2 linked regions of the Cricetulus griseus genome follow. The protein of the gene in region 1 interacts with the protein of each later gene in a biochemical or structural test. Links are inferred from orthologs where the notes say so. Each region holds a gene or a part of one and is shown on either strand. Other genes may lie near its edges.

What was found.
Region 2: the proteins of Cckbr (region 1) and Cck form a complex in vitro, tested with the Homo sapiens proteins (3 studies listed by BioGRID). The link is inferred for Cricetulus griseus from reciprocal best matches to the Homo sapiens genes CCKBR and CCK.

What each region holds. Positions count from the first base shown.
Region 1 is NC_048596.1:94,266,956-94,270,455, forward strand, and holds part of Cckbr (gastrin/cholecystokinin type B receptor), read right to left. Parts: intron 2,388-3,500; coding exon 2,136-2,387; intron 1,981-2,135; coding exon 1,731-1,980; intron 1,451-1,730; coding exon 1,281-1,450; intron 1,229-1,280; coding exon 558-1,228; 3' UTR 1-557. UniProt on the Homo sapiens protein: Receptor for gastrin and cholecystokinin. The CCK-B receptors occur throughout the central nervous system where they modulate anxiety, analgesia, arousal, and neuroleptic activity.
Region 2 is NC_048597.1:228,506,700-228,510,919, reverse strand, and holds the start of Cck (cholecystokinin), read left to right. Parts: upstream 1-1,420; coding exon 1,421-1,634; intron 1,635-4,220. UniProt on the Homo sapiens protein: This peptide hormone induces gall bladder contraction and the release of pancreatic enzymes in the gut. Its function in the brain is not clear.

The sequences.
Region 1 (3,500 bases):
TTATGAGGTGGTCTGGTGAAGGAAGAGGGGCAGGGCCAGAGTCCCTAATGGAGAAGGATGAGGGGGCTTTTCATTGCTGAAAGGTCTGCACGTTGGGAAGGTATGTGATTAATCCTATTGATATTTTCAATGCTGGGTGAGGAAGGGAATGATGAGGTCAAAATGGGGACAGTCTGCAATGTCCTAAGTCAGTCTTACACTAGGCTATGGGCACTACAGAATAGTGCCATTAATGTATACATTTGAGGAGCCAGTCAGCCCTTGTCAGAGCTCCCATGTGTGAAGAAATTCACTGCTGCAGACATTGTCGGTTGTCTATCCAGTGGGGTCAGTGCCACGTGCCTAGGGTGGGACTCAGTCCCATATCAAAAGTGTGCCTTCTTTCCTGTGCAAGACTATCTGTTTCAGGTGGAGCAGCAAAGAGCATTTTCTGTGTGTAGGGGTCTCTCCATGCTGTTGGATGTCCACCTGGATTAGTCCTGGTGTGTTTCATGATTTTGGATGGGTCAGTTTATAGGGATCATGTGTCTTGTCTCACCCTCCACACACTCAACCCTTCAGCCAGGTCCCAGTGTGCTGATGGTGGTATAGCTTAGCCTGGACAGTGAAGCAATGGAGGGAGTAGGAGGATCCTCATCCGGAAGAGGCCGGGGATGAGCTCGTGGAGGCCGTGGACAACAGCGTGCACATGTGTCCAGGCAGGCCTGGCGAAAGCGGCGGTGCATGAAACAGTAGACCAGGGGGTTGACACAGGCAGAAGCGTAACTCAGCAAGTGAATGAAAGAGATAGGGGCCCCTGAGAGTGCTCGGTGTGCCCCTGGGCCATCGAAGGCACGCCACGTGTTGGCACTGTACACTGGCAGCCAACACAGGAAGAAAAGCACAACAATCACCAGCAGCATTCGCACCACTCTTTTCTTAGCCAGCAGCTTGGCCTGGATGGGTCGAGAGCCCGGGCCTGGCCCAGGAGTGGGCGTGGTCAGAGCTGTCATCTCCAGTCTGGAACGCGGAAGTTGCACGTAGCAACCATCACTGTCTTCCCCAGCCTGGGTAGTCTCAGGCCGGCAAGCCCCATTCTGGTGGACAGGCCCTGAGCACAGAACACAAAGGGTACGATCAAAGCAGAAGGCAGATGCCAATCTCAGTCCAACTTTTACTCGACGCCCCTTCCCCACAGCTTTTACCCTGGGCTCCTGCCTCCTTTCTACACTTCTTTCAGATCCACCCACTAAGGAGATTATGTCCATCACCAAAGCCCCACCGTCATGCATTTCACCCACCTGGTGCTGCCCCACCGGGCAGGCCTCCTTGGTTTCGGACCCGGCTTTGGGTGTCACTATCATCACCATCAAAGCGAAGCCCAAGGTAGAGCTCGCGAGAAATGAGCCCATAGGCCACAGCCATAACCACTCCCGGGATGAAGAAAAGGAACAACAGGAGCAGTACTGACCTGGAGACATAACACAGAGCAATCACAATCTCCTGTGCAGCCAGTTACAGGTAGAGGAAGAGCCAAAAACTGGACTGTGTCCGGGTGGCCGAGGCAGAGGTAGTGTTGGGAGGTGACGCTGGCAAGGGGCCCCAAATTGGAATCCCAAATGTGGGGGTGCAGAATGGGGCTTAGTGGGAAAATTCTTGGAGGAGCTGGGGGACTGCTCTGGGGAAGGAGTGTAAGCATCTGATGAAGATGGGAAAAGGGCCTCCTAAGATAGGCTGGTGGGTGCCCTCACCAGGTTTGGCGGACACGCGCGCTGGGCCAGTGATGCACGCATTGCAGCACTCGAGGCCCCACTGGATGCACGGCGGTGTACACAGGATAAGGTACCATAAGCAATCCTGACAGAAGCCACGTGGCTAATATCACCCGCGCTGCATGGGAGCGTGTCTGCCACACTCGTGCTTGCAGTGGTCTGCAGATGGCGCTGTACCGCTCCAGGGCTATGGCCACGAGATTTAGCGTGGACACACTCACTGACACTCCTAAGCAAGGTGAGAAGAAATGGTCACCTTGGAAACAAACATCCTACATGCTCACCAGTATGATTTCCTCCACCCCCATCAGGGAAAACTTTTGTATTTGTCAAGTACTTTAAGAAGGGAGAGGACTAAGAGGGAAATGTGTTTATCTCACCTACCCATGAGGTAGGAAACCGCCTTGCAAATGACTGTGCCGAAGATGAATGTGCCCATGAGGTTGGGCAGGAGTGTGAAGGGCATGCAAGCCACAGCCAGCAAGAGGTCACTGACTGCCAGGGAGAGCAGGAAGGCATTGGTGACAGTTCTCAGGCGCCGGCTCAGTCCCAGGACCACAATGATGAGCACATTTCCTCCGACACTCGTCAGAAAGATCACAGCATAAAGAGTGACTCTAATGGCCAGCTCCAATTCTAGGCAGAAAAGAGAGAAAGCTGGTTGTAGGAGGATTTGAGCACCATTCATCCAGATCCCCAATTCCACCTCATTCCCAAGCCATAATATCTGGTTAGATCCTGGCACCCTGAGAACACTCTTGTTAACCCTAAGAGGCTATGTAGTAAATGATGACAGTAAATGCCTTACCATCATAAATGCTTAACTGAGTTGGCCCAACACTACTATTTCTTAGAATCCTGTCTCTCCTTATGGTTGGCTCCATAATTGCTCTTCTTTGCAAACACTTTAAGGACCTATCCCTATCACTGGTTGGCTACTTCTCAAGATCACTAATCTGTAGATACCAGATTGAAAGGTCCTTCTCTGCCCATTCCATCATACTTTCATGTACCCTTGACCAGCCATTCCCCTTAGAACCATGTTGGATCATGTCTGTGTTCTCTAAACAAACAGAAAACAAAACCAAAACAGCCCTTCCTCAACTAAAAAAAGAGAAAAGCCATTCATTACTCTGTACTATCTACAACCCCTCCTTCAGGACTGCACCTCCTCTCAGAGCTGCACTTACTCAAGCCACTTGATGACTCAGTTTCTTGAATGCATCATGAACACTTGTGACTCCCTTCTTAAGCTGATTTCTCATCCTTGGAATGAATATTCTCTCATAAACCCCCTACTTCCACCCCCCAAAGCAAACATTTCTTAAATCTGGTAAATGCCTATAAATCCCTCATCTACCAAGAATCAGCTTGATTGCCACTGCTTTGGAAAGCACCACATTTGGAACTAGTCTCCCACTTTTTTGTCCCATGCCTGTTCCATGTTCCCTACATACTTATTAGAACCCCCTTTTCCTCTCTGAGTTGTGCTTTAGTAATCTTCAAACATTCATTCTTACTCTGTAAACTCTTGCAGAGGACTCCCTTTGTGTCAGGCACTGGGGACAAAAAGGTGACTGACAAACTCCCTGCCATTTGAGAACTTTCAGTAAAGAGGGAATCTGAGATACTTACACAGAAAATTGCCATACCGTTTTATAGGAAGTGAGGTTGAGAGATGTACAAGAGGCTGTGGGATCCCCAGGAGGGAACCAGTGCTGCTGGGTGAGTCAGAAGGGCTCGGAGAGT
Region 2 (4,220 bases), on another chromosome or scaffold:
CTGGACAGGTGGGAAGGAAGCTCTCTAGGTAAAGAGGAGATGCCATACGAGGTACCCCGCCTGGGAGGGGCTGTCCTCGTTCACTGAGCCCTTTCCCTTTTCTCCAGGGCCACTTCAATCGGTGGTCGCGCCAGTGGCCGCCTTCTGAGCAAGCGTCCTGCCGGACTGCGTCAGCACTGGGTAAACAGATGACTGGCTGCGCGCCGGGCGGGGCTATTTAAGAGGCAGCCGCCCTCCAGTCTGCCCTGAACTTGGCTGGACTGCAGCCTGCTCTGCTGGAATCCGCCAAGCCAGCTGATCCCCCGTCAAAGGTAAGTCGGTGTCTGTGCTGGCCCATCCAAGAATTACGGGTGTGAAGAATACTGGCCCGTAGCTTTGCGTCCTGGCCGTATCATCTTTCTGTTTTCTGTGCCTTCCCTCCTTTGACAGCTGGGAAGATTTCCTGAAGTCAGAAATAATGGCTCTGGATTTTAAGATGCGCCTGGGTGGGTACTGCTGCGTGGAGACTTTATTCCTCTGTGTGCTGTCTAATGGCAAGGCTGGGATAGCCATTTCTTAGGGTTCCCACGATGTTCGGATCACTTTGCAATCATTTAAAAGGGAATGCCAAGAGGTTTTAAGACACATTCATTTTCTAAATGATGCAGGAAAAAAAACTAAGGCTTTGTGGCTAGAAAGACATCGTTAGGACGGTGCAGGTCCCATCAGGTCAGTTCTAGGTCGGTTTGCAAATGTGGTGGGGCTTTGGCCACAACTCAGGACTGGGCACAGAGTTCTGGGTTTTCTTTTGCATAGTGACTTCTTGTTCGTCCCCATAGAAACACCGAGGAACCTCTATAAACACAGCTTCTATTTATGCACCCATACTTTAAACCGCTTCCCATTGTCGTCCCATTCATTTCTGTAGAGACGGCTTTTAACCTGCATTTCTCTGCATTCTGCCTCTCTGTCTCTGTCTCTGTCTCTGTCTGTCTGTCTCTCTCTGTCTCTCTCTGTCTCTCTGTCTCTCTCTGTCTCTCTCTCTCTCTCGTGTGTGTGTGTGTGTGTGTGTGTGTGTGTGTGTGTGTGTGACCCACTCACCCACTCTGTGTTTTCTGGTTAGAAGAGAGATGGGCTATAAAGGTGCCCTCTAACTTCAGGAAAGCAGGAGGCACTGCTTCTGAACCTGGAAGTAAATGGGGTCTGTGCGGGATTCCCGGGCCCTGGGTGTGGATAACACAAAAGCCAGGCAGAAGTGTCCCCAGGCGCGCGGTGGCCAGGGCGCAGCCAAGGACTGGACTTGACTAGTTCTAGGGCATGAGCCAGGCTGGCGGCCACAGCCCCGCGTTCAGCCTCGGCGGACTTCGTGTGCGGGACTTTTGGCTGCAGCCCGCCGAGCTCAGCCCTTGGTTCATGACCCTCGCCTCCGCTCCCCACAGCCATGAAGAGCAGCGTGTGTCTGTGCGTCCTGATGGCAGTCCTGGCTGCAGGCGCCCTGGCGCAGCCAGTGGCACCAGCAGAAGCCGCGGAGTCGGCGGTGCAGCGGGCAGAGGAGGCCCCCCGAAGGCAGCTGAGGGCGGTGCTCAGGACCGACGGCGAGCCCCGAGCGCGCCTGGGCGCACTGCTCGCACGATACATTCAGCAGGCACGCAAAGGTAAGGATGTCCGCTCTGCCTCACGCGGCGGCTGCTGCTGCGGTCTGGGTTCCCATTCCTGATCTCCAAAGCACCTGCAGGGAAGAGGAGGAAACCAGAGCACACGAGGAGCAAGATTCTCTCTTTCCTTCCCTGAGGTACTCTGCACCGCACTGTGGCATCAGCAGGTGGTGTTCTCAGCACCCAAGAGGGGAGATGGGTGGAGGGCTTACCGCGTGGGTAAGAGGAGCGGGCTAACCCTTCTCGGAACTGACTTCGGCACTGTATTAGGGTTGAAGTCCAACACCGCTTTAGGAAAACACACACACACACACACACACACACACACACACACACACACACACACACACACACACACACACACAAAGTGCTGGTAAGAGTCTCCAGATCCGCCCTCTCCTCTGTGCTGTATATACAGCAGGACTGGGGACCACCCAGACACTGACCCTCGGGACCCCTCTGGCGTGAAATAGGTCAGTGCTGAGAAAACCTGAGACTTGAGACACGTAGCTGGCACTGTGTACATGTCCCCCTGTATGGCGCAGGAGGTAAGGGTCAAAGAGCAGCTGGAGTTCCCTTGACTGCCCAGTCAGGATGGCCACAGAGTGAAAGCTGTGTCTTACGTTTCTATAGCTGTCAGAAAGGTGGCCACCATGCTGACCACCTCAGGGATCTTCTCAATATTGGAAGCCGCCCCCCCCCCACGATCCCCGTGGGCTATTCAGCAGCTTGCCAGTTGAGGGTTCCTCTCCTGTACCCAAATCTCTCATCTTCAGAGAGGCGATGGGGACAGCGCAGACCAGATCCTCTCCCAGCTCGGGAGTCATGGCTGCCACCAAGACAGCTTTCATCTGACTTTATCAGCAGGGACATGGATGGTGACTTCTGGCTGGGGTGTGTTAAACTGGACCAGTAGAGTGAGATTTAACTTTCGAAGGTGGGCCCTTTGTTCTGTGGAGCTCATTTACTCAACGTGTCCTGTCTGATTTGAACAGCCCAGGGCATTGGGCTTGACTAGTGAGGGGGAACTGGGGAACTTGGTTGAGTTTCCTAGAGTCCCCCATGAAGATGCGACCAGGGGACTTCAGGGGAATCAAGAGATTTCTTATGTTTCTTCCTGTTTGGGAACTCACCCCACAGCCATCCCTTTCTAGGTTGTTTTCCTGCTAATTCAATGGAGGGAGGGAGAGATGAGAGAGAGAGAGAGAGAGAGAGAGAGAGAGAGAGAGAGAGAGAGAGAGAGAGAGAGAGAGAGAAATGCATACATACACACATACAGACACATACATACATACATACATACATACATACATACATACATACATGCACACACACACATACACACATACACACCAGGTAATAAGAAAACCTGGGAACGTGGGATGCCCCCTCCCCATTCCTTCTGATGTGGGCCAGCAGACCCTTCTGAAGTATTTTAGACTTTTCTAGACTCTTCAGTGAGCTGTCAGTCTATAGAACCTTTGGCCTGAGTTTGGGAATGCCCGAGCAGTTCTAGCAACAGAAAGCCTGGTTGCTGAATTATTGCCTAGAACCAACACATGACAGTGGTTTTCCCAGCAGCTGGAAGCCACTCCGAGCTCTCTTCTCAGACCCTGTCTCCCCTCAGCCTGTTGGACCCACTGAGCCCAGAAAGGAGTAGCCTTCATTTGAAAGTTGGTTTGCTCACACCCAGGGTCAGGGCTAAGTATAGAAGAGTGATGCCCACTTTTTGACAAAATATAAACTCAGGATCAATATTGTCAATACTGCACAATTTCTCTGAATATTTTATAAATGATTTTTTATTCAACTATAATACATACTATTCTTAAAGACTCTAGACGAGATACTTTTTTGAGTGATTGGGGCTTGGCTTTAGCTGGTAGACTGGCCTAGAATGCACAAAATCCTGAGTTCAACTCTCACACCACATGACACCCAGCCTGTAATCCTAGCATCGGGAGGTGGGGGTGGGTGGACCAGTTCAAAGCTAGCCTCTGCTGTGCAGCAAGTTTGAGGCCAGCTTGGGCTATGTAAGATCTCATATTTAAAAACAAAAAGTAAAATATGAAATAAAACCAAGCTTATCTTTAGAGCTTGTCTGCAGAGCCCTCAGTGGTCCCAGAGGAAGCCTATTCATTCCTGTGGAAGGTGGGGAGGCACTGGTGGTCCAGAGGGAAGTGTGTTCCCGTGGGAGGTGGGGAGGCATTGGTGGTCCAGGGGGAAGTGTGTTCCCGTGGGAGGTGGGGAGGCATCAATGGCACTAGCATCCAATGCTCTCTCCATGCATCTCTCTCAAGCCTTAAAACCTTTCTTCACATGAGCATCTATCTCACTGTCTTTCACTTATGAAGCCTGTGCTAAAGAAGGCAAATGCCATCTGTGCACACATTGGTGCATCTAGGAGGCAGCAGGAGTCTATACAGGTTTGACTTACGCCGCGGCCTGGAGGCCATACGGTTCCCAGCTCACCTGCTGCAGGAGTCAGATCACTTTGTCTCAGACCACTCTAAGCCCCTTCGCTGTGTAGTGCTGGCGATGGATGGAGGGTGATAACAACATGCCTGAGGACAGATCTGTGTAGGA